Arabidopsis thaliana: one gene and its partners. The protein of the gene in region 2 purifies or fractionates together with the protein of the main gene of each other region. This does not show direct contact. Each region holds a gene or a part of one and is shown on either strand. Other genes may lie near its edges. The genes, in order: IMD3, AT3G02860 and IMD2.

Region 1 (9,788 bases), on a different chromosome or scaffold from region 2:
GACATTCAGTTTGCTGTCAATTTTATTTGTCAGAGAATGCACTCCCCTACAACCTCTGACTTCGGACTGCTCAAACGGATACTACGGTACATCAAAGGGACAATTGGAATGGGTTTGCCAATAAAAAGGAACTCTACTCTTACTCTTTCTGCCTACAGTGATAGCGATCATGCGGGCTGCAAGAATACTAGAAGGTCTACTACTGGATTCTGCATCTTGTTAGGCTCCAACTTGATCTCTTGGTCGGCAAAACGACAACCTACAGTGTCTAATTCCTCTACCGCAGCAGAATACAGAGCTCTAACCTATGCAGCACGAGAAATTACTTGGATCTCTTTCTTACTGCGAGATCTCGGCATTCCCCAATATCTTCCTACACAAGTTTACTGTGATAACCTCTCCGCAGTGTACCTATCTGCAAATCCGGCTCTCCACAATCGTTCAAAACATTTTGATACCGATTATCACTACATCAGGGAGCAGGTCGCACTCGGTCTGATCGAAACACAACACATTTCAGCTACCTTTCAATTAGCTGACGTGTTTACAAAGTCACTTCCACGCCGAGCATTTGTTGATCTCAGGAGCAAACTTGGTGTGTCTGGTTCACCCACTCCAAGTTTGAGGGGGAGTGTGAGCAACAAACAAGTAACCGGCCCAACAACAACAAAAGGCCCATCTCAGCCCAGTCAAATAGAAGAAGACAAAATAGACTCCAGCTCAAAACAGAGCAACGATCGTACAGAGGAGGGGCGTTTTGCCTGATGACTCACCATAGCCAGCTACACAGCATCTGCCATATTCTAGACTGTTCCATATCTAGCTCCTTCTACAATGTCTATAAAAGAGTAGTGTAAAACCCTAATGTAATTATTGAGAAAGAAACGATTTTTTTACCAAAAGCTTGAAACTTTCTCTAATCGTTTCAGCAATGAGTGAATAATGAGATTATTATAAAAGAGATACAACTTGAGTAAATGAGTAAAATGATTATGAGTCCAAAAGAAAATGGAAAAAAGAGAAGGAAAGAATAAGCTTGGCACTTGAAGAAAATTTATGTCATTTAATTGCTCTGTTTGATTCTCAGATTCTTTATTCACATTAAGACCAACAAGTTGTGGATATATGCTTTCCCTCTCGTTGGCCGTTGAAGCATTTTTATTAACTTTGTCCCTCCAACGAAAGAAAAGTCAGGATTTTGTGTAAATTACTTATTTTTCCTTCTTCTGTCACAATCTTACTTTGAATTTTTGACATGAGAAAATAAATACTCTACATAAAGCTCATTTCGAGAGATATGGTTTTGTTATTTCTCTACTGTAAAAAAGGCAAATCAAGAAATGTCTTCACAAAAGAGTTCGCATCATAAGGCAGACTCCAAAATGGAACAAGATGTGAGTTTCTTTTCTTTGCTATTGAAGATAATTTGCAACATCTTTTTAAATGAAATCACCAAACTTTGATTAAAAATGTTTTATCTTGCTTTTGTATTTTCCTTGTTAAATTCTGCAGAACAATAGAAAAGCATGGATTTCACAACCGAGTGGTCTTAACTTTGTTTGGGGAGGTGACTCGAGATATTGGGTTATCCCTAAAGAACCAAGGTATCATCCGATTCATTCCGACTTAACCGATAAACCCAACTTTGGTTTACTGATACCAAAAATCTTAAACTGATTCATTTGATTGTTGGTTTTAGGATGCCTGCTGAGCTGAAGATGGTGAGTTGGTTAGAAGTAACCGGTTCATTCGACAAGATTGAACCCGGGAAAACATATCGAATCGGTTTTAAAATCTCGTTTAAACCGGATGCGACCGGTTGGGACAAAGCCCCTGTTTTCATGTCTGCTAAAATCGGGAAGAAAGGCAAGACAGTGTGGAAAAGAATCAAATCCGTTAGCCAGAACTTTGGTATACTGAAAGGTGGATCAGAACCCGTCAATATACCTGACGAGTCCGATGGCCTGTTTGAAATCTTGGTTAGTCCCACAGCGCTTAACCAAGATACTAAGCTTCAGTTTGGTCTGTATGAGGTGTGGACTGGACGATGGAAGACAGGTCTGTTGATCCACGAAGCCTTTGTTCAAGAAGTGTAAGGGGGAATATGATCATTATTGATTTTCATAATCCGAACGCAAATCTTATACCTCGTTTCAGTTCAAATATAAGAGCTTTAGATCATAACAATGTAATCTTATATACCTTTCTTGAACAAGTCTTAAAGCTCTGTATGATAATCTTCCGGTTTGAACCATAACGAGAAATCGATTCCTTTCGACTTCAAATTCTCAGTTGCGGGTGCAATTCTTTCCAGAAGCTACACCGATTAAACAAAAAATATGTGAGACCTGATCTCTAAGCACAACAGATTAAAAGCATTGATAAAAGTATGAACAGTTCATGAAACCTTGGGGTGAAGAACGCCGTTGGAGACCAAAACAGACCTATCAAACACAGAAAACTTCCCTCCGTCCATCCGAGTCACAGCTCCTCCAGCTTCCTCAACTATCTGTGTCCATTTTCTGACATGGATTAAGCTCTACAACTTAAGTACTTTAGTAAGAAAAAAACAACAAGAAGGATGAAGAAGACTACAAGAACACCAGCAGCCATGTCCCATGGCTTTAAACGGTACTCCCAATATGATTCCGCAATCCCAAGTGCAACATGACACATGTCAACTGCAGCAGCACCGAGTCTTCGCACTCCCCGACTCACATCAGTAAACTCTTTGAACAGTTCCATGTTAGTGCTCCATGCATCATCATGTTCATAACCAAACCCTGTGATAAGAAGTGCTCTCTCCACCTTCATTCAAACCCGAATAAATATCTAATAAACCAAAACCATTGAACACACCATGTCGAAACTTAAAATTGGATTCTTGATAAGTTACTTACAGCATCGGTCTTACTGACATGAATTTTTTGCCCGTTACACAATGCTCCACCACCTAAGAAGTGAACTAGTTAGACAAAATTTAGATATATAGCCAAACATAAGCTTGTCACATAGTACCTGCAGTTGCAGAAAAGGTTCGAGTGTTCCAGCACATCGGACCACCGACAAACTCTACCTGCATGATGAGATTTTGTTGTTAATCCTACTGACCAAAGAATCAGCAAATAGGAACTAACAAGCATTAGCTGGTTTGTGCAAGTATATATTGGATTTACCACAGAAGCAGCGGCGGGATTTCCACGATACAGAACACCGACGGAAACAGCAAAACTGGGATATCCATGAGCAAAATTTGTAGTTCCATCTATGCATAAAGGAATTAAGAGACTAATACTAAAAATCTCAGAGATTCCACACAAACACATGAAAAGAAAGCAATGAGATTTGTAAAGAGAGCTAAACCTAGAGGATCAATGCACCAGAGGTAATCAGAAGACGAATCGCCGATGATACCTCCTTCTTCACCAAGAATAAGATGATCACTAAAATTCTTCTTCACTACTTCCAAAATAGCAGCCTCGCTTGCTTTATCAGTACTGCAAATTCATCAAAAGTACTAAAACTTTAATAGCTTCAACCAATCAAGTCAACATGAACATAGTTAAAACCTCAAGCTAACAATTTTAAAAGGTGAAGAAGTCCTTACTCAGTTACTAAGTCACTGAGACCTTTATAAGTAATATTCCTTGGCTTATTTACAGCTTCCATAACCACCTAACAAACCAGATGATTCAATTCAAGTTAGTTTTGTTATTATTCTCCTTGTGCAGTTGTGCCCTACGAACCCAAGAACTTGATTCTAGTACCATTGAACACAATTTCAAGTCTCATCAAGAGTTTTTGTTTCCAATAAACATAAATTCAGATATTGTATTCTACAGACATGAAATTTCGAACCTCAGCGCCGGTTTTAGCGGCGAGTTCAACGACTTCAAGGAGGTGTGCCGGAGATATAGTTCCGGTGGTTTTAGCGCCGATTCTGGGATATCGCGTCTGATCAGAAACCTCAGACAGAACAGCTTTGGTTTGAAGTCTCGTTGTGGACTTGAAGCTATTAGACAAAATCCTCGTACACCGATATCGGAAAGTTCTGTTCACTGTCCGGCCTGAAATTGGGTTTTGCAGCGGAAGAGATGATCTGGGTAAGTGAGAGATTCTCAATGACATGTTTCCAGAGAATATTAGAGACCTTCCCATTGTTGGTGTCGCCGGAGAATTTTCGAATTTTTGTTGTTGTTCGGTTTTTGGTTTATATGAACGCGGCCAAGTGAACGGATGGTGGACATGAGAGAGTCCAAAAAGCTGATAGAACTTAAAATTGAAATTAATGAGAACATTGAACCAAAATCAGGTTAACAAATAACCAGAGATAACCGGTCTCTGTAGTATACTCAAATGGTTAGTTTTTGCCGATGGTGGTGCCCTAAACTCGAAAAAAAGATGGCGGCGTTTTTGCAAACTAACATCCGTCTGGAGATCATACCGGGAAGATACAGTTCTCTCACCGATCATAAGTTTCGTGCGCCGTATCGAATTAGGTGCGCCGCCGCTTCACCGGTGAAAAAACGGTATAACATCACTCTGCTTCCCGGCGATGGTATCGGTCCAGAAGTTATATCTGTTGCTAAGAATGTGCTTCAGAAAGCTGGATTTCTCCAAGGACTAGAGTTTGATTTCCAGGAGATGCCTTTCGGCGGAGCAGCTTTGGATTTGGTCGGAGTTCCATTGCCGGAGGAAACTTCCACTGCTGCTAAACAGTCTGATGCCATTCTTCTTGGAGCTATCGGAGGGTATGTGTAATGCGTGTGTGTGTTGTTTCTTCAGCAAATTTATTCTCTTTATGATGATTTTTTGTTCAGGTACAAATGGGACAAGAATGAGAAACATCTGAGACCTGAGATGGGTCTGCTTAACATTCGAAGAGATCTCAATGTCTTTGCTAATTTGAGACCTGCTACAGTTTTACCACAGGTATTGATTTGCTTATCACTTTGCTTTCTAGTTGTAAATATACTCAAATTTTTCTGTTTTTGCTTGTTCAGCTAGTTGATGCTTCCACACTGAAGAAAGAAGTAGCACAAGGTGTTGATATGATGATTGTAAGGGAGCTCACTGGAGGTATTTACTTTGGAGAGCCAAGAGGCATTACGATCAACGAAAATGGCGAAGAAGTCGGTTTTAATACAGAGATCTACGCTGCTCACGAGGTACTACTTACTCTTCACAATCTGCTGCTCTGTGACAATGTATGTGTATTAATGCATTGCTTTATCTTCTTCAGATTGACAGAATTGCTCGTGTTGCATTCGAGACTGCTAGGAAAAGGCGTGGCAAGCTGTGTTCTGTTGACAAAGCCAATGTCTTGGATGTATGTTTTGAATTGTTTTTCCACTCCACTCTTGTGTGTTTTTCGTTATACAATTATTTTTTTGTTTTGTTTCGTATAGGCATCAATATTGTGGAGGAAAAGAGTAACAGCTTTAGCCTCTGAATATCCAGATGTTGAACTATCACATATGTATGTCGATAATGCTGCGATGCAGCTTGTCCGTGACCCGAAACAGGTGATCTTCGCGCATATATAAAGCTTAGCCGTTGATTAAGCTAACACAGAAGTGGAACTTGTAGTACTCACGGCATTTTTAAAAACATTATTGCAGTTTGACACAATCGTCACCAATAACATTTTTGGTGATATATTGTCTGATGAAGCTTCAATGATCACTGGTAGCATTGGGATGCTTCCATCTGCAAGTCTTGGTGAATCGGTAAGTAAGACTAAATCTAATATTTCAAGGTTCCTCTGTTTATTATTATCATATATTGATTGTTAAACTTGTGATGAAAACTAGGGACCTGGACTCTTTGAACCTATACATGGTTCAGCACCAGATATAGCTGGACAAGACAAGGCAAACCCATTGGCCACCATTCTCAGTGCGGCGATGCTTCTCAAGTATGGACTTGGAGAAGAAAAGGCTGCAAAGATGATTGAAGACGCGGTCGTGGATGCTCTGAACAAAGGTTTCAGAACCGGAGACATCTACTCCCCCGGAAATGTATGTGTATGATGATTTCTGTCTTTTGTTTTGTATAAGTTAATGACAATATACTTAAAGAAGTCTTTTTGTGTTTTGAAAATGCAGAAACTGGTGGGATGCAAGGAAATGGGTGAGGAGGTTCTCAAATCAGTGGACTCCAAAGTTCCTGTTTAAGAAAAGTGTGTAGCCCTTGGTTTTACTGTTACTTTTTTGCTAATACATGTATTAGAAACTGTATTCTTGTAGCTTTTATAATAATAAAATATTTGGGATCGATTCTGCAATTCAAAGACAAAATTCTCCAAGAACATTTGACAAGTCTCCTGCCTCAGTACCTTGTTCTTGAAGATTGAGAAGTTCTCGCCAACTACAAAACTCAACATCTTCTTCAATCAATATTTGTTAAACGAATAAAGTTTCAAGAGAGACAAGAAACTATGTTTTTTAGCCGCTAGAGTATTACATTTTTCTACTGAAAAACCAAACTTATAAAACATAACATTTATAAATCCGAAAACAACTATCAATCATCAGGTTAGCCTTTGGATTCACGACGACTTATCAGATTTGCGTTCAGCGTCTGCGGCAGACTGCATTTGAGCTGCATATGGTAAGTTCCAGAGAACATCTTTAAAGGAAGTCTTGCAGAAGGTTCAAGCAAAACACATTTATTGGCGATTGAGATGGCAATTGGGTAAAGACTCCTGCGAGCTTGTTGTTAGGACCGTTGGACTTCCTATTTTCTGTCGACAGTCTTGGCTCCCAAATGACGTCTGCAAATACAACATTGCAGCAACAGCTATTAACAATGATGAAGATTTGCTTCTTTTCTTTACCCTATATGATACCATTTCGTTGAGAAGATAGGCCTCTCCTTTTTGTAGTAGGTACTGGTCCTATCAGAGATTCCAGAAGTATGAATCCAAAGTTGTACACATCGCCCTCTGTTTTAGCCATTTTCCTGCATAATTCCAAAGCTAAGAAACGTGATGAATCGAAATCGTCTGTGGCTTCCTTTAACTCTTCAAAAGAAAATGACCGGAATGAGGGCACACCTTGTGCACCTAGCTTTGCTGCTTGAGAGATTAACCCTGCAAGACGAAGTCGTACAAGGATATTAAATTCCTGAAAGACAATTGCCACCAGGCGGAGGTCTACAATTTGAGTCAAAGTTACTCACTTGCACTAGCAAGAACTTCGGAGGAGAGACTGGTGTGTGAGTTATCTCTGTCACAACCTTAAGCCGAGTTTGAGGCACTGACCTTTCTCTTGAACAACAGCAAGAGCAGCGGTTTATACACACAAGAACAAATACATCTCCACCAAGGACAGCAACCAAAATCCCAATCTTTCTTCCTTGGAACTGTTTTCCCTCAGTTTCAGCCTCTTCGATTACGAATTCTTGATGCTGATCATGACTGCCAATAATGGAAAAGAAACGGGGAGGGGTCCCAATTAATCTGTTATTCGACAAATCCAAGTTTGCCTCCACAGGTCAGATTATGCTGTAGCTTCCCACTGAGCTTGTTAGATGCAAAGTCTAAGTAACTAATGTTTGGCAAAGAGAACAAGAACCGAGATGAAGTTCCAGTCAGATGATTGAACGTCAAGTCAAGATGCTGAAGCTGAGACAAACAACCAAAACTTCTGGTAGTAACCAATAGACCTGAGGCTGTTGATTGATCACACTCGAAACCTCATTGAATCTAACATCTTACACAAAAACAGAAACAGCCTTATTTCTGAATCCAACAACAGCTGCCAAAACTTGAAAGTAGCTAACAAAAGGAAATGATTCCACCACAATGGCTCCTGCTTCAGTTCAGAGCAGCTTATAGAAATCTGAATAACGGATTCTTGATTACACAATTCATTATACCAAAACCATATAAAGGATTACTACAGATTCAACAAAAATTCACAACCTTCCTTAAATCATTCTTCTGCCATTTGATGATGAACATATTCAAATTCCCAGAAATATCCATCCTTACTATCTCCAACAGATGCAGAAAAAAGAATCAGAATTTTAAAACCCTAATTTTACCAATTACGTAGCTCACAAGATCCAAAATAACCTTTCGCCGACAACAACAACAAAACCACCGTATCTAACGCTGCTCAAACTCTCGCTGATGGCGAGAGAGACAGAGAGAAAGTGAAAGCTGAGCGTATTCGCACTGTTTACGCTTAAGGCTTGTTCCGCCGCTAGAGCAAAGAGACCTCACCGCCTCTGATTCCTCCGGACAAGCCTCCGCCACCACGCACTCCGCAAACGCCTTGTTCAAATGTCTGCAACCGGATCTCCTTGCCGGTCCTTCCGGCATCCGACGGTGGCACTGCAACAACGCTTCCTCCAACCGATCGCAAGATTTCATCGGAATCTCTCTGATTTTTCCGGTGTGAATCCGTCTCATCTCACGATGTAACTCACTAGTTGGGTTTGGGCTTTTGTTTTGTAAGCCCATATTTATCTCTTTGTTAATAGAGTCAAACCCACTTTTTTAACACACATTATATCATTATATAAAAACAAAATAATTAAACAAATTCAAAATATCAAATTAAATTTATTAAAAAATTAATGCTAAATTTAAAATTGAATATGTTATAAATACTGGAAATTTTGAACAAAAAATTCAACTAGCAAAATATACATAAATGAGCAAAACATAAGAAAAATATATGCAAAACATAAGAAATAATGACAACCGGTAGAAAATGTAGTTTAAAATTTGAGACACTAAAATTAAAAGAGATGATTCTTAATTTCCAATTAAAAAAAATAAAAATAAGTGATTTGCTTAGACAATGATGTTATTTGATCTGATATTGTCTGCGTAGAATGTTTTCTTTACAATAACAAATTCAGAGTGACGCTTACAATACAACTTGATGCTACAATCTTTAGTGTTTTGGTTTTATACAAACTAGTAGCAGTATTTACAGAGGTCTCATTTCTCATGTCCTCGTCTCTGAAGGCAACCAACCAGAAATCACGACATATAGATAAGTAAATTAAAAGTAAGGTAACTATTTTCCTAATACATTTTTTGTTTTTGTTTTTTACGTCATGTATTATTTTATCTATTTGACACATGTCCGGTTCTATCACTTACTCAAAAGTCGAAACTCTTTTGAGAGAGCTAGTTCTCTGTTTTTTAATCCGTTTATATTTATTTTTATTCTACTAATTCAAGAGAATCCATCTAATTATTCAAGAGAACTCCCGTTGAAAATGTTCTAAAGAATTAAACTTCCAAATCTGGCCCAAGTCGTGAGTTGACTAAAACCGATTTCTCACATATATGAAGATTTCGTACATAGTCATTTTCTCGTGAAACAAAATAATCGTTGGAAAAATGTCCTCCCATCAGTAAAATACCACTATTCTTTTTATTTTTACTTTTTAATTGTTAGTTTAAGTCAAATTAATTACATGTGGTGGTTCGACGATTTAGTCAACCAGAGAAAAAAGTATGTTTGTGACTTTTTGATCTTTGCCAATGTCTTAACCGAAGTGGTTATATGTGACTACTTTGCAATTGGCTAGACCAACTATTTTTTTACTTCATGAGTTATGATTAGTTTTTACTTTTTAAATAAATAATTAAGTTCTATAATAATATATTCACTTTCGAAAATTTATTATTTGTCATTAATCATGGCTTTGTTTAGATATTATAGTTCTCATACATCTGTAATTGTACAATGTTATATTAAAATGTGAATATATTTAGAAAAAAAGATTCAAACGTTACAAAGCAAGTTAATACCAAAACATAG
Region 2 (9,710 bases):
AGTGCGTCCATGTCGGCTCTAAGTCCGAAAACAGGTTTCGAACAGGATCCGATCCAAGCGACGACGCCAGTCTTCGCCACAGGATACTTATACTTCACTCCAAGCGAGTCAAGCTCGTCTCGAACGAGTTGACTCGTTTTGAACTCCTGAAACCCTGTCTCTGGGTTCTCATGAATCTTTCTCCTAATTCCTCTCATCCACTCGAAGAACTCAGGATCCTTGGCTGAATGAAGCATCCCGCGAGCGAGTGACTCGAGACCCGAACCAGAATCGTAGCTCCCAGCTGAAGACAGAGGAGGGAGAAAGAAGAAGGTAACGAAGATGACAAAGAAGCTCCCTGAGAAATCCATTCTGATTTCTTTTGTTTGTCGATGTAAACTGGCAAGTGTCAATGAAAGAAAGGACAACGGTGAATACGATGATGATGAAGGAGAAGGAGTTGGATCACCGATCCATTTTTAATATTTATATAGTACGTAATTTACACACGTTTTTGGAAACTCTTTTAATCGTTTTTAAATACGTATACGCCTCTAATGTGAAATTCATAATTTATGGTTGTAATGTGAAGAAAATAATGAAATACCAAAGATAAAATATGAAAATGATACAATGTAGTATATTTACGGTATAAAAGGAATATTTACTTGAAATGAATTAGTACGTTTAATACACGATTTTACCATTTATGTTAATGAAAATTAACACTTTTAAAATAAAACATGGCATGAATTAGAGTTGTGAGAATCACATGTAGGCCTTTAAGGTTCTTAAATTTTTAATTCCTTATAACATAGGCCCATGTATTTGATTGACATATAGGCCATTGGGTTCTTCGACTTTTAAATTACTTATAACAAAGGCCCACCTATTTGAAGCGCATTGTTAAACATTTTGTTTATATTTTGATTATGATCGAAAATTCTCTAGAACAATTCGTACAAAAGAAGCTGTTTACGAAAGTAGCTGTACATGCGAACATAATCAATAAAAATGTAAATGACTAATGAAACATCAGAATATCCGTACAAAATTGTGACTTTATATTATTTAGTTATAGGTACAAAGTTGTGGAGAGTAAAAAAATAAAAAAGGTAAAAAGTTGTGGAATAGACCTATGAAACAATCACAAACATACAACCAAAATGCAAATTGTAATTACGCAACAGAGGCTTTCTTTTCAAGGAAGTCAAGTGTAAGATTTGCAAATGCCCCAATTATTATTTGAGAGAAAAAGGGATATTGCTAATCACAATTAACGGTCACATTACAATTCCCTTTTTTCTCTGTTATTTCCTCTTCTTTCACAATTAAGTTCTTAACGGTCACATAAATATTTTGTTTTTTATATAATGAGTTTAATTAAGTTGAAGAATCAACTGATAAGGTTGATGATCCGATCCTCAAAAGTATACTAACCACAACACTGTCTACGTTCATGTTAGTACCTACTTCAAAGTCCATGTACGTTGGGACTGGCTGTATCTTCCGCCGAGAGCAGCAGAGAGCGTCATCGCTGTCTTGGAACGAGAGAAAGGTCGAGACTATCTCTAAGGCAACCAAAAGCTTAGCTATGATGAAGACATCTTTCTCTCTCTCTTTGCCTATGAATGGAGAATACAACAAATAATATAAAGTGATGGACATTTCTATGCTTTGCTTCTCTTCTCCAAAGAGAAATAGATGAAAAAGATTGTTGATTTTCGTTTCTCTCGAAGAAGAAGAAAGAAGAAGAAGGTGAATAGAGACTTTTGATTTCTCAAGAATGAACAAGTAGATTGTAGAGTGTTAGTGTTTAGTTCTGTTCTTAGGTTGCAGAGATTGTGTATGTGTGGCGTTTGATGTCTCGTGTTGGAGAGGTGGTCTCGTTTAGAGTGTTAGTGTTTAGTTCTGTTCTTCTGTTGATCTGTGTTTTTTTTAAATGTAAATTACACAAGTATGCAAAACAAATCTCTTCTCAGAAAGGGGCTACTGTTATATCATGAGATTTATAAGACAAAATGTAAAATATCGGAAAAATAAAACAACATAATTTTGGTGTTGAATGAGTTTTTCTTGTCCACACAACGGCAGAAGCAGTAGACGATTGTTCCTTTGTCTCTTGATCACAAACCGATTTCAAAGTGTTCTTCGCATTTTTCTCATCAATGTAAGTGAACCAGCCAGAGAAAGACAAGTATGCACCAATATCATTCCGGCCCCATATTCAGAATAAATTAGAACATCTTTTTCCTTCCGTGTTATGCACTTGTTCTAAAAAAAAAGAATTCCGGCCCATATTCAGAATAAGGAGTCCAGTCCAATAGTCTCAAGTCCAAACCCGACTCGGGTCTGTCCGACCCGGAAAAGAGAACTGATTACAGAATGCGGGTTTTGTCAAGAGAAAGTTGGATGATAAAATTGAGGTGAAATCTAATCTTCAAATGATCATTGGTTAGCTTTTTGTATAACGGATTTTCTGAAATCCTCTTATTTCCCATATCGGACCGTGATTATTGGGTGATTTCGGATGCCTAATTGGGTAATTAATATAATACAGTATAAGATTAGATGCCTCGAATATTCGCTCTGTGCCTAACCACAAAAACCGTAACTTTTGGTTTTCTCTGAAACACATCCCAAAGTAAAGAAAGCATCACTCTTTTCGTCTTCTCTCGAAAATGGCGGACAATGGTAAAGTCACGATCAATCTCTGCAAACCTTATTTGATTTCCCTGTTTCCTCATTTTCTTTCGGGCGACATTGATTTGACGCAGATTCTCTAGATCAGTTTTTGGCTGCCGCCATTGATGCCGCTAAAAAAGCTGGACAGGTCTATCTTTCGATCTCCTTGAGTTTTGATCGATATTTTGGCTAATCGTTATTTAATCTGGCTCCTTTTGGTTTGCGTTCTGCAGATCATTCGTAAAGGGTTTTACGAGACTAAACATGTTGAACACAAAGGCCAGGTTTTTGTTTCTTTCCTCCGCTCAGATAATGTTTCAATCACTCAATAAGTGGGAATGGCTACTTAAGAGTGTCAATTTTTTTTTTGAAATTATCTTCTATGGCTCCTTAAATTGTTGCTTTTAGGTGGATTTGGTGACAGAGACTGATAAAGGATGTGAAGAACTTGTGTTTAATCATCTCAAGCAGCTCTTTCCCAATCACAAGGTGGTGATTATTTCTTCTTTTGAATTCCCATTTTGTTGGCTTCTTCCTCGCGTTGATCATTAGAGTTTTGCTATAATTTATTAGTTCATAGGAGAAGAAACTACAGCTGCATTTGGTGTGACAGAACTAACTGACGAACCAACTTGGATTGTTGATCCTCTTGATGGAACAACCAATTTCGTTCACGGGTATTATCATTATTGATCAATTCCCATTTGAATGACCTGTGTGTTTCATTTGCCCATTTCATCAAAAACAAAAACAAATGCTGTTTTTTTTTTGTAGGTTCCCTTTCGTGTGTGTTTCCATTGGACTTACGATTGGAAAAGTCCCTGTTGTTGGAGTTGTTTATAATCCTATTATGGAAGAGGTAAAAGATTGTGTATTCCATTGTTTCAAGTTTCTTCGATCGTTACAACTTACCATTATACATAGTTTCCTTGATGGTGCTCTGTACATGCATGTTTCAAGATTTTTCTCAATTCTTACATAATATCTAATGATCAAACAGCTATTCACCGGTGTCCAAGGGAAAGGAGCATTCTTGAATGGAAAGCGAATCAAAGGTTAGCACTTGTTCTAGAGACCTAATAAAAAATTTCTTGATCTCTTTTTATGGCATCCGGAGTATAGCTATCACTTGTTCAGAGACTTGAGTTCTCTTCCTTCTTTTCAACTCAAACAATGTTCTTTTTGCAGTGTCAGCTCAAAGCGAACTTTTAACCGCTTTGCTCGTGACAGAGGTAAAAATCTGGCTCCTTTGTGTTAGACTACTAAAACTAGATTGCTATGAAGCCTCCTCTCATCGCTAATGTGACCAATTGAATATAGGCGGGTACTAAACGAGATAAAGCTACATTAGACGATACAACCAACAGAATCAACAGTTTGCTAACCAAGGTAAAAGTTTATCGATAGATATTTGGAACTCCACCAATTTGGTTCTAGTCTCTGCCAAAACTCATGATTGTTGTGTCCTTCATTCATCAGGTCAGGTCCCTTAGGATGAGTGGTTCGTGTGCACTGGACCTCTGTGGCGTTGCGTGTGGAAGGGTTGATATCTTCTACGAGCTCGGTTTCGGTGGTCCATGGTAAATTGTCTTCTTTTTTTTTTCCTTGCTTGGATTAAAAAAGGGGATTTCTTTCTTGTACAAACAAAATTAGATCCTGATGATGGCATAATAATATCAAATCTTTCACAGGGACATTGCAGCAGGAATTGTTATCGTGAAAGAAGCTGGTGGACTCATCTTTGATCCGTAAGAGTTTGAGATTAAACCAAACACACTCACTCTCAAACCGTCCAACTGATTATAACTAACTGTTTTATGTCGTCTTTGTTCATCAGATCCGGTAAAGATTTGGACATAACATCGCAGAGGATCGCGGCTTCAAACGCTTCTCTCAAGGAGTTATTCGCTGAGGCGTTGCGGCTTACAGGGGCATGAAGTCATCTGTTATTATTTTACAATATGGTCTCAACCTTATATGATCAAACTCAATTCAAAAACTTAACATTATTGAATATTTCTTTTCGGTAGAAAGAAAACAAACTCAATTGTTGAGAAAAAAAAAAAACTATTTTCTTTCTGCTACCCTTTGTGAATTCAATTAAAAAAAAATCATATGTTTGGTATTGAATGATATAATTCTGTTCTTCCATGTAGTTGATCTTTGTAATCGAGTTTGCATTTTTTTTTTTTTTATAAAAGGTGGAGTTTAAGGTATTTTGTGATCCATACTAAATTAACAACAGAGGAAAATGGGGATAATGAGTCCGGCCCAGTTACGACTAACGACCCAGAAGCATCCCGAAAGTCTCAAGTCTAATCCCGAGTTGGATCGACCCGACCCGTAAAAGAGAAGAGATTGCGGAGAAGAACGGAGGGAGGAATTTTGATTCTCACGGTGACTGTTGTCCTCCTCTAAGGACTTAGGGTTTGATTTGAATAGAACAAATTTCTCAGATCTTCGTATTCCTTGCGAGGTTGTGATAATTTGGGAGTTGCGTGGGTTGCTACGAAGGAGAGTGATGGATGCTCAAGCGAAGAAGAAGGCCATGTTCCGGTCTAAACTCAACGCCAAGAAGAAAGACACCCGCATAGATTCTCCTCTCGTTAGGTAAACCGTTGTTAGCTTCTTCTTCTCTTCGTTTCGATGTCACTTCTGGGTTTCTACAATTCCAAATATTTGTGGGTTCTGGGGATTGGGCTTGAGCTGTAGTTGGGATGAAGAGTTTGTTCTTTGGATTTGTAGGTACAACGAATCAGACCAGCCTGTGTGTCGAGTTTGCAATGTCGTCTTGAAATCTGAATCACTCTGGGATGTACATCAAGCTTCTCGTAAGCACCACGAGGTAAACTTAGTGTCTTCTGCTCCATAAGCTTTACTTCACAATCTCTTATAACCTGAGTAACAACAATGGGATATTTGATAAATTACATACATTGAAGATAGGTAGATTTCATGCTCTTATATGATTTTATGCGTTAGATTCTCTGTTTTATGTTCTTTAATCTTATTAACTTAGCTTTCGTAATGTAACGTTTGGACAGGCCATTGATAGTCTCAAGGCTAGTGCAGCGGGAGTCCAACGGGGTAGCAAACCTGCTGAAACTCGGCCAACGAAAATTGAAGCTTTGGCTAAATCATCCAATTCTCAGACATCATCTGGTCTTCCGCCAAATTTCTTCGAAAATCGTGAGCCTGCTAGAGGTAATGACTAATGCACTTTCCTCTTCTTGTTCTTATCTTTTTCGAATAATTTTCTTAGTAGAAGGCTTTTGGTTTAGGTGCTAGTTATGTGGATGCCATGCTTAAAGGCTCTAGTCTTAGGTTTTTTGAAAGATTGATGATAGTTTCATTCGTCAATCGAAAAAAAAAACTTATTGATCAAATATATGTGCAGCAGAAGTAGAACCAGCAAAATCCAAGAATTTAGAGCAATCAAAGCACACTATAGGATCTGAAACAAATAAGTCAAAGGGACCTCTTCCAGCCGGATTCTTTGATAATCAGAAAACTGATTCTTCAAATACCAAAACCACCAGTGAACCTAAACAGAGTCAGACACAGACCACTGGTCCAGAAACAAAACCAATGGTGAATGGAAACCTTCCAACCGGTTTTTTTGATAATAAAGAAGCTGACCTGCTTGCCCATGGAATCAAGCTCGTCAAACCAGATATCAAGTGAGTTTCTTCTCTTTTTTTTTTTGTTGCTTTTACTTTTCCAGATGCAGAAAATCAAAGTGAAACCTCATTGTTGTGGACCTTGTGATCCAGTTACTTTCCTACATTCTCAATTTGAATGGTTCATATGATCTTATGGGTTTGTACCTAAGAATTCTCTTCGTGAACTTATATAAACATGGATCTTCTTACAGGGATGAATATAAAGAATTTGAGAAGTTGATACAAGATGATTTGCAGGTAGTGGATAGCCGCATGGAAGAAGAAGAGGTCAGATAACTTTCTGTCACTATGATAAATTGCTGACAGTATCATAAGCTCTTTCTTAAACTTAAAATCGCTTTTCTCGCACTCTAATTGTCAGGTTGATGCTGCGGAAACTATAGAAGAGGAGGAACAACGAGAGCAAAGGTAATTTGATTCATTACTTTGTTATAGCAAGAAGATGGAAATGTTGAGACTTGTTTAAGATTAAGTAAACACTTGGCTTCTCCTTTTAATCTTATTCTGCAGATCATACAAAGAGAAAGTAGAGATTCTGAAGAGGAAGAAAATGGAACTTAAAGCGGCAAGATTAGCGAAGCGCAGTAAAACCTCTGAGGGGTCTGTTAAAAAGCCGAAGAAGACAGAAGAAGAATCGCCCAGCGATGAGGAGGATGACGAGGATTCTGCTGTTGATTGGAGAGCTCAACATCTTTGAATAAACTAGAAAAGACTGTTTAAAAATCTGTACCCTGGTAAAACATACAATGTTCTATGAGAATATACAGTGAAAACTAATCAATCTCATATATATACAATTATCAGTTTCAGAGGATCAATTGGTATTTGAGGTATAGTTATCGGTTAATGGGTATAATTCAAGAACGTAATTTTCATAACCAGAGTTGCCAAAAAGGCCGAAATATCTGGGGATGAAACCTGAAACTGTGGCAGTTCCGACCAGTTTCAGGTGATAAACTAAAAAAAAAAAAGTGATTATGACTGGTGGTCGTATCATTCTAGTTTTGAGTGAGAATGTTTCAGATATTGATCATTTGGTGGCACAAAACATAATGACGAAAGTGGTAAATTTAACAATCATCTTTAAAGTTAAAACTCTTATTATTGTTAAACAAATACATGTGGAATAATAAATAATTGAGACAATTCCAGAAACCAATTAGGGGTCAAATATGTCGAGAAACTAATTAGGGGTCAAGTATTGAAGAAGGAAGAAGACCACTAACTAAACATATTCATATTTTTTTGTGAATTTTTGGACTATTTGTGATTACCAACCATATGCTTATATAACTTATAAAAAAAATGCATTAGGCTTTCCACTATAAACCATTGACATTTGAAATATTTAAATCAAGATATATGCATAACCAAAAAAAAAAGGGTTATGTTATCTTGTTTATAACTTGAAAAGGAGTCCACAAAACAAAGAGAGAGAGAACAGCCAAAGCAAAGGTCGGTTAATGCACAATCGATGATATAACAAATATCCCATTAGAACATAAAATTAGTTAACTAATTACTTCTGACCTAACTGAATGCACTCAATCTCCTATAATACCTTAACATTATCTAGCTTGACTAATCATATAAATTGTCACGTGAATTTTCTAATGGTAAAGTGTTTCACAACGGGAATCAAAGTTTAGGGACATTTCAGTTTAGAGTCTATCCATCATAACACTTGTATCCCAACTTGGTTTTTCCAAATTTGTTTTAGATAAAATACCATTTTTCGAATTCATCGTCTTCATGTGAATTTTAGGAAAAAAAGAGTGACAAAACACACACACGCACACACACATCGGCTTCGACCTACATAACCAAACGATATCTTGTAAAATACCACACACAATCACAAGTGTTTAATCTTATGATCTCTAATCTCTTATGCATGTTTAAACGTGATAAAGGAGAAATCGTTTAGCATTAGAAAGAAAGAAACATTTACGAATAAAATGATCGAAAAAGTGACTTCCTCGAACTTTATCACATCACGATACCTTATCACATGTACGTAACACGTAATGACTTATTGTTTATCTTGTGGTTATAAAAGACTCTCTTATCATTTATATGGTGCTCTTCATAGGTCATTCTAAAAATAAACCCATATCTCACTGGTTCACCTTATTTTTTAAAACATATTATTATTCTTTTACACTACGTTATCTTTTATTATGACCATAAAAATATTAATATAGCATGGGCTTTTTGAATCACAATTTGAACTTTTAATGTAAAAAATAAACAACAGCACTAACAAAAAAAAACCGAAAATTTGTGTATAAATTTCGCCGATTCCATGGTGTTGTTCATCGAATTAACTTGAGTTGCTATTTTTTTCTCTATCTGATAAGTTTCGAAATTTGAAAACACAGGCGCCAATTTTAGGCATATAACTGAAAATCACAAAAAGGAAATAAGAGAGAAAGAGAGAGAAAGAGAAAGAGAGAGAAAAACAGAGAGGTTGTCTTCTTCGTCAAATATCCGATTATCTGGTATCGTGATTCGGAGGTGTAATGGGAGGTAGTAGCGGCGGCGGAGTTTCTTATCGTAGCGGCGGCGAATCAGACGTGGAATTAGAGGATTACGAGGTTGATGATTTCAGAGATGGGATTGTAGAATCGCGAGGAAACAGATTCAATCCTCTCACCAATTTCTTAGGGTTAGACTTCGCCGGCGGTAGCGGTGGAAAGTTCACCGTCATTAATGGAATCAGAGATATCTCCAGAGGCTCCATTGTTCATCCCGATAACCGGTACACCATAAATTCTCGTCACGCTTTTGAATTTTGTTTTCTGAGTCCTTTAACTTTTAATAGTTTCATAAGTAGGCCTTATGTTTTATTTTGTATTATTCTAGTCCACTTACTTTGTTATATGGATTTTAGGGTAGGTATTGATTAATTTCTTTTTTTCTTTATACTGAGACTAAATCTTATAGAAATCAATCTTCCTATATATTTTGAAGCTACGTACTACTTTTATTAGAGAAATTTTGAAGGAAATTTGTTAGCTTAACAACTTTCGGGGTCAATTGTAGTGCAAACAAAAACATTAGGGGCTTGATTGTGGATTTAACCTTCCTTTTTAGTGTAATAACATTTTCTTCGGTTATTCATTCATTTCCCGCCACTTTATGACACGTATCAGTTTCTCAATGGTTACAAATGATCGTTGGTTAAAAATGTAACAACCATGAGTCTGTACACGTCAGACCAGATTAAAGAAGAAAACTCTGTTTCGCTGAAGTTTGGAGCAATAATAGAAGTAGACTAAGTAGTGAGTTTAGTTTAGCTACTAAATACTCTGTCCGGATCTAAAGATTCTTGAATTTGCAGGTGGTACAAGGCGTGGACGA
Region 3 (9,935 bases), on a different chromosome or scaffold from region 2:
CAGTTGCTTGTTTCACAATGTACATAAACGTCCTCTCCACGCTACCGTAGAACTCGTTTTGCCCCGTGTACAGCATTGCAGACCCAATCCTGAAGATAAACGACATCGCGTCACAAATTAGTAATCTTATAAGATTATTTGAAGTTCTTAAGTAATTTAATGATGGGTTACACGGCGGCTATGGTGAAGAGGAGGAGGAAGACGAGAGAAAGAGTGTAGCAGACGCGAGAGTAGCCGTAGTTGCGGCGGCCACAGCCACAACAGCAACAACAGAGGCATGAGCAGATGAGAAAGAGTCCGAGCAATACGAACCACGCGATTGCTATTACTATGAATGGAACTGCAGAAAATCCAACGGACTGAAAAAGACAAAACAATAACCATTACGATTTTCGAAATTTTGCTACAAAGAACATCACATTTATTTTTTTTTTATTTTAAAATCACGTTTTTCTGTAGTTTAATTTTCGCCCTTAACTAAATCAATTGCTACATTATCTACCCCAAAGCATCATACTACTACTAATTAGTTTACTCTGGTTTAATTGTCTAAACGTCCACTTAAGTGTAATCGTTTCCAAAATAAATACAATTCTATATCTTTGTTGTGGTCAGATAATGTTTTACCCAAAAACTGATTTAATCGTCTAAATGCCTCAAGAAAATATAGGTTTGACGGAAAGAATTTATTTTTGACATTTAGAATATTGAAATCAATTAAAAAAGACAGACTCACGGCGATGTAATGAGAGTTGGTAACGTTCCAACCATCGACATAAATATTGAAATGGTTGAGAGGGTCAGGTCGCTGTGTCCTCTCCGCCGCTAACACCAATCTGGTCCCATTCCCTCCTTCCAAAATTTGCCTCCTCACTCCTAAAATCATTTTCTTAAATTTTTATCAGAAGCCATTTTTTAATCAAATTTGTATAATTGTATCCAAAAGAAAAAAGGGGTTTCTCTGGTTTAAAAGAAACAAAACTTTTACCTTGAAATGAGGTAGAGGATGGACGATGATGACAAGAAGACGAAACTGCATGAGAAAAAGAAACCAAACTCGACGTGATCAGAAGCCCAACGGTGATCAGGAGGAGACGCCGGCGACTATGATATGACGGCGTTTCGCTATTAACCATTATTCTCCCTATTTTTCTTGTCTAATTCTCTCTCTTTTTTTGTTTTTTTGGGGGAGGTTTGGTTTCTAATTTCTGAAACTCTAAAAAAGGGTTTATCAATCAAACGTATGAATAAGAATCTTTTACTTCTTCAGGAAATCAAGGACAAAGAAGATGAAACGAAACTGTTCCCTTTATTTAGATTTTCACCATCCATTGTTGTTATTCTGTTTTGTTTTAAGTTTTCACCTCATTTTCTTAGTTTTTAAAATCCTTAATTAATTACTCTTTTAACTCTTATTGGCTGTGTGACCTAAAACTTAAATTAATGAATCACATTTTTTTCTATAAAACCGATTATACAATAAAATTGAAATGAAATTGGTAAAAATACTTTATACTCAGGGTCGACTCGGAGATTAGAAAAAGAAACGGAGAATGGCATTAATTACCACCAATACTGACATGAGAGCTACTCTAATTTTGTAACGGAAAATTGCATTTATGATCATCTGGTACCAACTTTTCCTGCTTTTGCTCTGTCATGGCATTTTCTAAAGAAAAATGTTGTAACTAAGATTTTTTTTAGAAAATTGTTACGTCATGTCTGCATAATCTTTACAAAAGTAAGCTAAGATTAAAAGTCGTATTCTTTAGTTGAATTTTTTTCAAATTACAATAATAACGCCATATTCTCCAATGGTTTTAAGAATGTGATCCATGATGGATCATCCATCGTTTCTGTAGGGTGTTTTATTGAGCTTAACGATCTTACAAAATAGCCACAAAATGCCTGTGGTTGTCACAGAGTGGAACAACAACAAAAAAAAATTAAGTTAGAGAGTGAATTACAAATGGTACGTATATGTAGTAGAACACATATAGGAGGCGACAAACCATCTTTCAAAACCAAATCTTCGGAATTTGGCTTAAGACACACAACTCAACCAGATTTCTCAATGAACCTCAGTGTTTTCTCCTCGGTTTTGAGTTGAAACAAAGCCACTTTATGGCAAAGATGATATACCTTGGGGAGATTTCTCCATCCAAAAGGACGCTTCTCTATTGCTTCATGTCTGTTTTGAACACATAACCAAAGAGTTTCTTCATATCTAGTTATCTATTCTCTACAGACAAGCGTTTCGTCCAAGGACTTTTCTACCAACTCAGGCCTTCTCCTTGGAGATAGCCCTCTTTCGATCATTTCCTCCTCATATTCCCTAGCCATATCCAACATTCCTTTCTGAATCAACGCATCAATCACAGCATTATACGCCGCTGAATCAGGAGTATCCCCAGACTCTTTCATTGTCTTCCACACATATAATACCGGCTGAAGAAATCCCCATCTCTCAAACTTCCTCATTAGCATCACATAAGTATCCATCTTTGGCCTCACTCCACTCCTTATCATCCTACCAAACAGACTTAGGATCTCACTCGGTTTCTCCAAACGGGAAAAGAGACACATGTAAGTAATCGAATCGGGTTGACAACCTCTCTTAGGCATCTCATCAAGCATCCGATACGCGTCTCTCATCCTCCCGTCTTCACATAGAAGCTTAATGATTGTGTTATGAGTCGCAACATTAGGTTCACAACCTCTTTCCCTCATCTCCCGAAATACCCTGATACCGAATTCAACACCTTGCGACGCTCCAATGGCTCGAATCACAGTGTTATAAGCAACCACATCGAGTTTCATCCTTCTACTCTTCATTTCCTTATACAACTTCACAGCTTTCCACGGTTTCCCGCTCTTGCACATGATATCCATGTAAATGGAATACGAAAAAAGATCCTTAGTAACACCTTCAGTATCCATCTTCTTCCAATACTCCTTGCATTTACCCCACCATCCCAATTTCGACCACCCACGAAGAATCAGATTATGAATCTTAGTATTACTCACACTAAAACCATTACCAATGACATTCTTCCCAAAACAAAGCTCTTCAGCTTCAACCACATGTTTATGCTCGCAAAGCGCATCGACCAGATTATAAAATGATGTTTCATCTCTCAAATTGAAATCATCCAATTTATCATACGCATCAATAGCCTCCTGAACAAGATGAGCCGTCACATAACGCTTAAAGACTATACGAAACGTGACGTGATTCGGCACAGATTCCGTGTTTCCGATCATGCGGTTAATCAAAGCCCAAGAAATTTCAAACTCGAAATACTTACCCAGAATATCGATCACCCGATTGAATGTCTCGGTGGTATGTCTGAATCCGGATTCTCTCTCGACCCAGTTGAAAAACTCCAACGCCTTTTGCCAATCGTTGCTGTAACATGTGAGAGCTTCGCATACTGTTTTCTGATCGTAACTGGACTGATCTTCTTCTTCCTGAGATCGAAACTTCGCATCATCGACATTTGAAATAGGTTTTACTGACAGAAGCCGAACGGAGTAAGGGGAAGCAATCCGAACTCGATTGAGTCGCCGCAACAAGAGCATTCTCTTGTTTCCCCTCTCCGCTCCCTGTACACACGAAATTAGGGTTCATCATCTAACGGGCGAATTTTGACCCGAATACCCATTTTAAAATCTGACCCGAATACCATTTATGGGCCCAAAGCCCGCTGGACTTGTGTTAATATTTGGAACATTTGGGCCGATCTATCTTCTACGAATCTTTCTTAGGCCCATCATAATTGAGCCATCCAGAGGTGAAAATAAATAATCGAACGGTTAATATTGGTTTGATTATAAACACAAAAGTTCTTTCCAGGTCTCCTTGTAGTCTTTGTTGTAGTAAATGGCGGGAGTCATCCACGTCAGCAGTACCCAGATTCCGGTTGCGTTTATGTCCGCAACCAAACAGAGCTTTAGGAGAGCTTCTGTGATCAGATGTGCCGCCAACACTCCAAAGAAACGGTACACCATCGCGGTTCTTCCCGGCGATGGCGTCGGTAACGAAGTGATCCCAGTCGCTGTTGACGTTCTTTGTTTAGCTGGGTCTCTTGAAGGTTCCTTCTTTCTCATCCTGTTGCCTAATTTAATTTGATTTTCCCAACTGAAATCGTGTTTTTGGATATCAGGGATAGATTTTAGCTTCGAGGAGTTGCCTATAGGAGGTGTTGCTTTAGATCTTGTCGGAGTTCCACTGCCTAAGGAAACATTGATCAGGGCAAAGCAATCAGACGCTCTTCTTCTCGGAGCTGTTGGATGGTATGGTATTATTACCATAACTTTCGTTCATCTCAAGTTTGGATTCATCTAAAGTTTGGATTTTTGAATTGAAGGCCGAAATGGGATAACAATCCCAAGCATTTGAAGCCGATAACGGCCTTGTTGCAGCTTCGTGCGGCTCTTCAAGTATTTGATGAGCCCTCCTTCTTCTGTGAGGTGCTGCTAATAAATGGATATATATATATATATATATATATATATATATATGTTGTATGTGGTAATGTAAGGTGTCCATTTACAAAATTAAAAACTTTGGGGTCAATTCTGAAAATAAAACAATGTGCAAAAAAGGACCCATAAATGCAAAGAAGTAAAGTCTGAGTGTACTAGTAGTATCCATTTGACTTGCGGTTTCAAAATCCGAAAAAGACCAATCAATCCTTTCTCCCTGAAATGGCGGCGGCTCTGCAGACGAATATCCGGACGGTCAAGGTTCCGGCTACGTTCAGAGCTGTAAGTAAACAGTCATTGGCACCCTTTAGAGTAAGATGTGCTGTTGCTTCCCCTGGTAAAAAACGATACACCATCACTCTCCTTCCCGGAGACGGCATCGGTCCGGAGGTTGTCTCCATTGCCAAAAATGTGCTTCAGCAAGCTGGATCTTTGGAAGGTTCTCTCTCTCTCTCTTGTTCCCTTTCTTATTTAATTTAGTTGCTGTTTCATTTCAATTGGGGACTACTGTTTTCTGCTTGGAATTGAAAGATGTGAGCATTAGAAATTGGCGAGATTTTGAATGGGATTTACAATCGTGGGTTGGGCTCAAAGGCCACGGAGATTGCCTAATACATTGCGTCTGTGCTCTGTATCAGGAGTGGAATTTAACTTCCGTGAGATGCCCATTGGAGGAGCTGCTTTGGATTTGGTCGGAGTGCCCTTGCCGGAGGAGACTATCTCAGCTGCAAAAGAATCAGATGCAGTGCTTCTTGGAGCCATTGGAGGGTCTGTCTTCTCTCTTTTCCCACTAATCTTGTTGGCTCTTAATTATTGTTTTGGGAAATACAGTTTCTCATTTAGTCATTTTCTCATGTTGGTATAATAATAACTTAAGGTACAAATGGGATAACAATGAAAAACATCTGAGGCCTGAGAAGGGGTTACTTCAGATTCGTGCAGCTCTCAAAGTCTTTGCAAATCTGAGACCTGCTACAGTCCTCCCACAGGTGACCATCCTCAGAGATTTCTTGGTTGCCTGAACTTTGTTTCTTGTGTGAAACTCTAATTTTGTTGTTTTTATACAGTTAGTGGATGCTTCCACCTTAAAGAGAGAGGTAGCAGAAGGTGTTGATCTAATGGTTGTAAGGGAGCTTACAGGAGGTCAGTTTTATTACTTATTAAAAATTGATCGTAATTCTTGTCTTTCTCGTGTGACAATATCTTATAAAATGTCATGTCTCATGGTAACAGGTATTTACTTTGGAGAGCCAAGGGGCATAAAGACCAATGAAAATGGCGAGGAAGTTGGGTTTAATACTGAGGTTTATGCTGCTCACGAGGTACTCTATTGAAAATCTCAGATGCAGATTTCCGTGGACTGATTGTTAAGTACTAGGGTCAAATCTAATAAAGCATTTTGTATGTTCGTCAGATTGATAGAATTGCTCGTGTTGCCTTCGAGACTGCTCGGAAACGGCGTGGCAAGCTGTGTTCTGTTGACAAAGCTAATGTTTTGGAAGTGCGGTTGATAATTATGTTTTCTTTGACTTGTTTTCCTCTCTCTTGTTTCCTGTGGAACGAACATAACACTGAATTTTTTTATATGCAGGCCTCAATCTTATGGAGGAAACGAGTAACAGCATTAGCCTCTGAATATCCTGATGTTGAGCTGTCACATATGTATGTTGACAATGCCGCGATGCAGCTTGTTCGTGACCCAAAACAGGTACGTGTACTTTGTATTTGCCAAACTAGTCAGCTTTGATGTGCGACAGGTGTAAATCCTTGCAATTATTTGATTGTTTGATAAATGCAGTTTGACACCATCGTCACAAACAACATTTTTGGTGATATATTATCCGATGAAGCTTCAATGATCACAGGAAGCATAGGAATGCTGCCATCTGCTAGTCTCAGTGATTCGGTATGATATAAAATAATATGATCTTTTAGTATGCAAGCAGTATGATCTAGTCTGAACATAAACCCGCCATGTGTAATACAGGGACCTGGACTCTTTGAACCTATACATGGTTCTGCACCTGATATTGCTGGACAGGTTCTAACTCTATCCTTCAAACAAACACGGTTTTTGTTCCCTGATATCAAAACTAGTTTAATGCCAAAATCAAAGAGCACAACTTGTTGATTCTTTGAATTTTCAGGATAAGGCAAACCCATTGGCAACCATTCTAAGCGCTGCAATGCTTCTGAAATACGGACTTGGAGAAGAAAAGGCAGCCAAGAGAATTGAAGACGCAGTGTTGGTTGCTCTGAACAACGGATTCAGAACTGGAGACATATACTCCGCGGGAACAGTATGTTTCTTGAACCACTCTTATAACATGTTTCCTTTTCCTTAAAAACGTCCCGAGTTAGTGTTTGAGAAACGTTTAAACAAGCAGGCAACAACAAACAGTAGTAATATTTTTTTGTCTTTTTGTATGGGGTATGATCAGAAACTGGTGGGCTGCAAGGAGATGGGAGAGGAGGTTCTGAAGTCAGTGGACTCCCAAGTTCCAGCTTCTGTTTAATATTTGTAGAAACTTTGAAGAGTTCATTTCCAACAACAAATGTTGTACCTTGTACTCAAAGAGTCTCGGTTTTATTAGCGATTTTTATAATGTGAGATTATTAGAGGGACTTATTTGATCGAACTGAAACGTTGATGTTTTTTTCTGAGAAATAAATATCCTTGTGGAGATAATGACGTGTCAGAGTATCACTCAAAAAGCCAAAAATTAGAGAGACAAAAAAGATTCAATCTCCCCCGTAGTCCTTATCCGGCGCCGAGTGTGGTCAAACGTCGCAAGAGTTTTCGCTCTTTCCGGTGAGATCTTTTTCCTCTGATTTCTGTTTCATGGCAAGCCTACTTTTAGAGCTGAGTTTAATCGATGAATCAAGGATGTGAATTTTTGTTATTTCTTGATTATTCATTATTATGTTCAAGAAATCTAAATCTCTGCTTGGGAACTAATTCACAATTTAGACATCTCTGATGAGTTTTTCCTCTGTTTTTTATTTCTATCTTATCAATTTTGTTTCTGGAAATTTTCATGGCTTTTTGAATGTTCATTGGGATTGCGTATCTTGGTGGTGGTAAGTAAAAAGTCAAACGCCTTCGTTTTTCTGCATAATCTCTGAGTTCCATCAAAGCTCTGTTTTGTGTTTTCAAGGTGGACTTTTCACTTGACATGTTAGGCTTTGATCCTTTTTTGTTCACACAGATAGACAAATGGATGAATTGCCAGACCATTTGGTTTGGGACATTCTCAGTAAGCTTCATACTACCGATGACAGAAACTCGCTTTCACTCTCATGCAAACGTTTCTTCTCGCTGGACAACGAGCAAAGATACTCTCTGCGGATTGGTTGCGGTTTAGTTCCTGCATCCGATGCATTGCTTTCTCTCTGCAGGAGGTTTCCAAATCTTTCCAAAGTGGAGATTATATACTCAGGCTGGATGTCAAAACTTGGCAAACAAGTTGACGATCAAGGCCTTCTTGTCCTGACCACAAACTGTCATTCTCTCACTGATCTCACTCTGAGCTTCTGCACCTTCATCACCGATGTTGGCATAGGCCATTTGTCGTCGTGTCCAGAGCTTTCTTCGTTGAAGTTAAATTTCGCTCCCAGGATCACTGGTTGTGGTGTGTTGTCACTTGCTGTAGGATGCAAGAAACTCAGGAGACTTCATCTCATTCGATGCCTAAACGTTGCAAGTGTAGAGTGGTTGGAGTATTTCGGAAAGCTTGAGACTTTAGAAGAACTCTGTATCAAGAACTGCAGAGCCATTGGGGAAGGTGATTTGATCAAGCTGAGGAATAGCTGGCGAAAGCTGACAAGTCTGCAGTTTGAGGTAGATGCCAATTACAGGTACATGAAGGTTTACGACCAGTTAGATGTGGAACGGTGGCCCAAACAGTTGGTTCCCTGTGACAGTCTGGTGGAGCTCAGCCTCGGTAACTGCATCATAGCTCCTGGTAGAGGGCTCGCTTGTGTGCTGAGAAATTGCAAGAACCTGGAGAAGCTTCATCTGGACATGTGTACCGGTGTCAGCGACTCAGACATCATAGCATTGGTTCAGAAAGCTAGTCACCTAAGAAGCATCTCGCTCCGTGTCCCGTCCGATTTTACTCTGCCTCTCTTAAACAACATCACGTTAAGATTAACCGATGAAAGCCTCAGCGCCATAGCTCAACACTGCTCAAAGCTCGAATCTTTCAAGATATCTTTCTCAGACGGTGAATTCCCTTCCCTCTTCTCTTTCACACTCCAGGGGATAATCACTCTGATCCAGAAATGCCCAGTACGCGAGCTTTCTCTTGACCATGTGTGTGTATTCAACGACATGGGGATGGAGGCTCTATGTTCAGCTCAGAAACTTGAGATCTTAGAGCTTGTCCATTGCCAAGAAGTGAGCGATGAGGGGTTGATTCTGGTGAGCCAGTTTCCTTCTCTCAATGTGTTGAAGTTATCAAAATGTCTGGGAGTGACAGACGATGGAATGAGACCACTTGTTGGATCTCACAAGTTGGAGTTGCTTGTTGTTGAAGATTGTCCTCAGGTTTCAAGAAGAGGTGTTCATGGTGCTGCAACGTCTGTCTCGTTTAAGCAAGATTTGTCATGGATGTATTGAGATCGTATGATTTGCTTCCTATGTACAATTTTACTCATGTGTAAGTAAGTGTAAATGTTCGATCTTTGGGACAGAAAAATTACTAATGCCTCAGTGATGATCAAGTTTAAAATGACGTCATAGCAGTTGTATATAAACAGTCATGGATGATGTAATGTTGTTACTCTTTAATTTAATGGTGCGTTTTATAAATATAGCGTCATAATAATTAATTGACTGATGTCTTTCTAATCCATGAGCTAATCTTATCAAGTCGTCATTCTAAAGATTTTTAAATATTGATATTGCCACGTCAAAACGCAAGTAGTAGTACTTGTTTGATCAGTTAGAGTTCAACTGGGCTGACATTTTTAGATCTTGTGTCGGTAATATATAACTTTCACCATCTTTCTTAATACCAAACGTATTTTGTTCTATAGAAATTTCTGTCAAATGTTATGATTGTCTGTCTACTAAAACCACATATTTACGTTTGAAACCTTTAATTTTAAATCCTTTATTTTAGCAGATAAACATACTCCTTTAATAGTAGCTTTTATATGATTCCTTTAATATTTGGTAATTAGTTGAAGAAGTGTGTACCCTAAGCGAAATTGTAATCAGACAAACTGTGTGTCTATTGACGCCAGCATAAGTCCATGAAGAGATCACGCGCGCGCCTTACGTAATCAAAACGGATGTCAATTCGACCAAGTCAAATCGTTTGGAGTCTACAGAACACGATTTGCCGTTTGATTTAATGGGCCTATGTCTTTGTCAAGGCCCAACTTATACCGTATTATGCAAGTTGTCAGATACACGAGAAAATTTGTTACTGTATGGATTT

Evidence for each region.
Region 1: the proteins of AT3G02860 (region 2) and IMD3 fractionate together in Arabidopsis thaliana (co-fractionation; one large-scale study listed by BioGRID). This does not show direct contact.
Region 3: the proteins of AT3G02860 (region 2) and IMD2 fractionate together in Arabidopsis thaliana (co-fractionation; one large-scale study listed by BioGRID). This does not show direct contact.

Annotation. Positions count from the first base shown.
Region 1 is NC_003070.9:11,139,231-11,149,018, reverse strand, and holds IMD3 (isopropylmalate dehydrogenase 3), read left to right. Parts: upstream 1-4,301; 5' UTR 4,302-4,356; coding exon 4,357-4,751; intron 4,752-4,820; coding exon 4,821-4,932; intron 4,933-5,003; coding exon 5,004-5,168; intron 5,169-5,242; coding exon 5,243-5,329; intron 5,330-5,408; coding exon 5,409-5,525; intron 5,526-5,621; coding exon 5,622-5,729; intron 5,730-5,813; coding exon 5,814-6,020; intron 6,021-6,107; coding exon 6,108-6,176; 3' UTR 6,177-6,558; downstream 6,559-9,788. Other genes in the region: PP2-A9 (phloem protein 2-A9), read left to right, coding at 1,701-2,096; IMPL1 (myo-inositol monophosphatase like 1), read right to left, coding at 2,219-2,317, 2,408-2,509, 2,596-2,808, 2,901-2,953, 3,019-3,076, 3,177-3,265, 3,364-3,497, 3,608-3,675 and 1 more; AT1G31175 (cytochrome C oxidase biogenesis Cmc1-like protein), read right to left, coding at 8,114-8,470.
Region 2 is NC_003074.8:622,633-632,342, reverse strand, and holds AT3G02860 (zinc ion binding protein), read left to right. Parts: upstream 1-4,975; 5' UTR 4,976-5,185; coding exon 5,186-5,274; intron 5,275-5,409; coding exon 5,410-5,509; intron 5,510-5,708; coding exon 5,709-5,868; intron 5,869-6,061; coding exon 6,062-6,344; intron 6,345-6,538; coding exon 6,539-6,614; intron 6,615-6,708; coding exon 6,709-6,755; intron 6,756-6,857; coding exon 6,858-7,044; 3' UTR 7,045-7,180; downstream 7,181-9,710. Other genes in the region: ILR1 (Peptidase M20/M25/M40 family protein), read right to left, coding at 1-350; VTC4 (Inositol monophosphatase family protein), read left to right, coding at 2,661-2,673, 2,757-2,812, 2,898-2,948, 3,073-3,153, 3,238-3,341, 3,439-3,523, 3,665-3,719, 3,853-3,896 and 4 more; SKOR (STELAR K+ outward rectifier), read left to right, coding at 8,870-9,108, 9,691-9,710. UniProt on the Arabidopsis thaliana protein: Essential for breaking seed dormancy before seed germination. Prevents reactive oxygen species (ROS) accumulation in response to abscisic acid (ABA) and oxidative stress, probably by repressing the accumulation of ABA-induced ROS-scavenging enzymes (e.g.
Region 3 is NC_003070.9:30,283,123-30,293,057, forward strand, and holds IMD2 (isopropylmalate dehydrogenase 2), read left to right. Parts: upstream 1-4,640; 5' UTR 4,641-4,710; coding exon 4,711-4,927; intron 4,928-5,126; coding exon 5,127-5,256; intron 5,257-5,365; coding exon 5,366-5,477; intron 5,478-5,555; coding exon 5,556-5,631; intron 5,632-5,721; coding exon 5,722-5,810; intron 5,811-5,902; coding exon 5,903-5,989; intron 5,990-6,079; coding exon 6,080-6,196; intron 6,197-6,286; coding exon 6,287-6,394; intron 6,395-6,475; coding exon 6,476-6,529; intron 6,530-6,635; coding exon 6,636-6,788; intron 6,789-6,929; coding exon 6,930-7,004; 3' UTR 7,005-7,177; downstream 7,178-9,935. Other genes in the region: AT1G80540 (envelope glycoprotein B), read right to left, coding at 1-89, 172-359, 737-876, 989-1,136; AT1G80550 (Pentatricopeptide repeat (PPR) superfamily protein), read right to left, coding at 2,236-3,582; AT1G80555 (Isocitrate/isopropylmalate dehydrogenase family protein), read left to right, coding at 3,884-4,094, 4,167-4,296, 4,371-4,617; AT1G80570 (RNI-like superfamily protein), read left to right, coding at 7,539-7,569, 7,698-9,109. UniProt on the Arabidopsis thaliana protein: Involved in leucine biosynthesis; catalyzes the oxidative decarboxylation step in leucine biosynthesis (primary metabolism). Catalyzes the oxidation of 3-carboxy-2-hydroxy-4-methylpentanoate (3-isopropylmalate, 3-IPM) to 3-carboxy-4-methyl-2-oxopentanoate.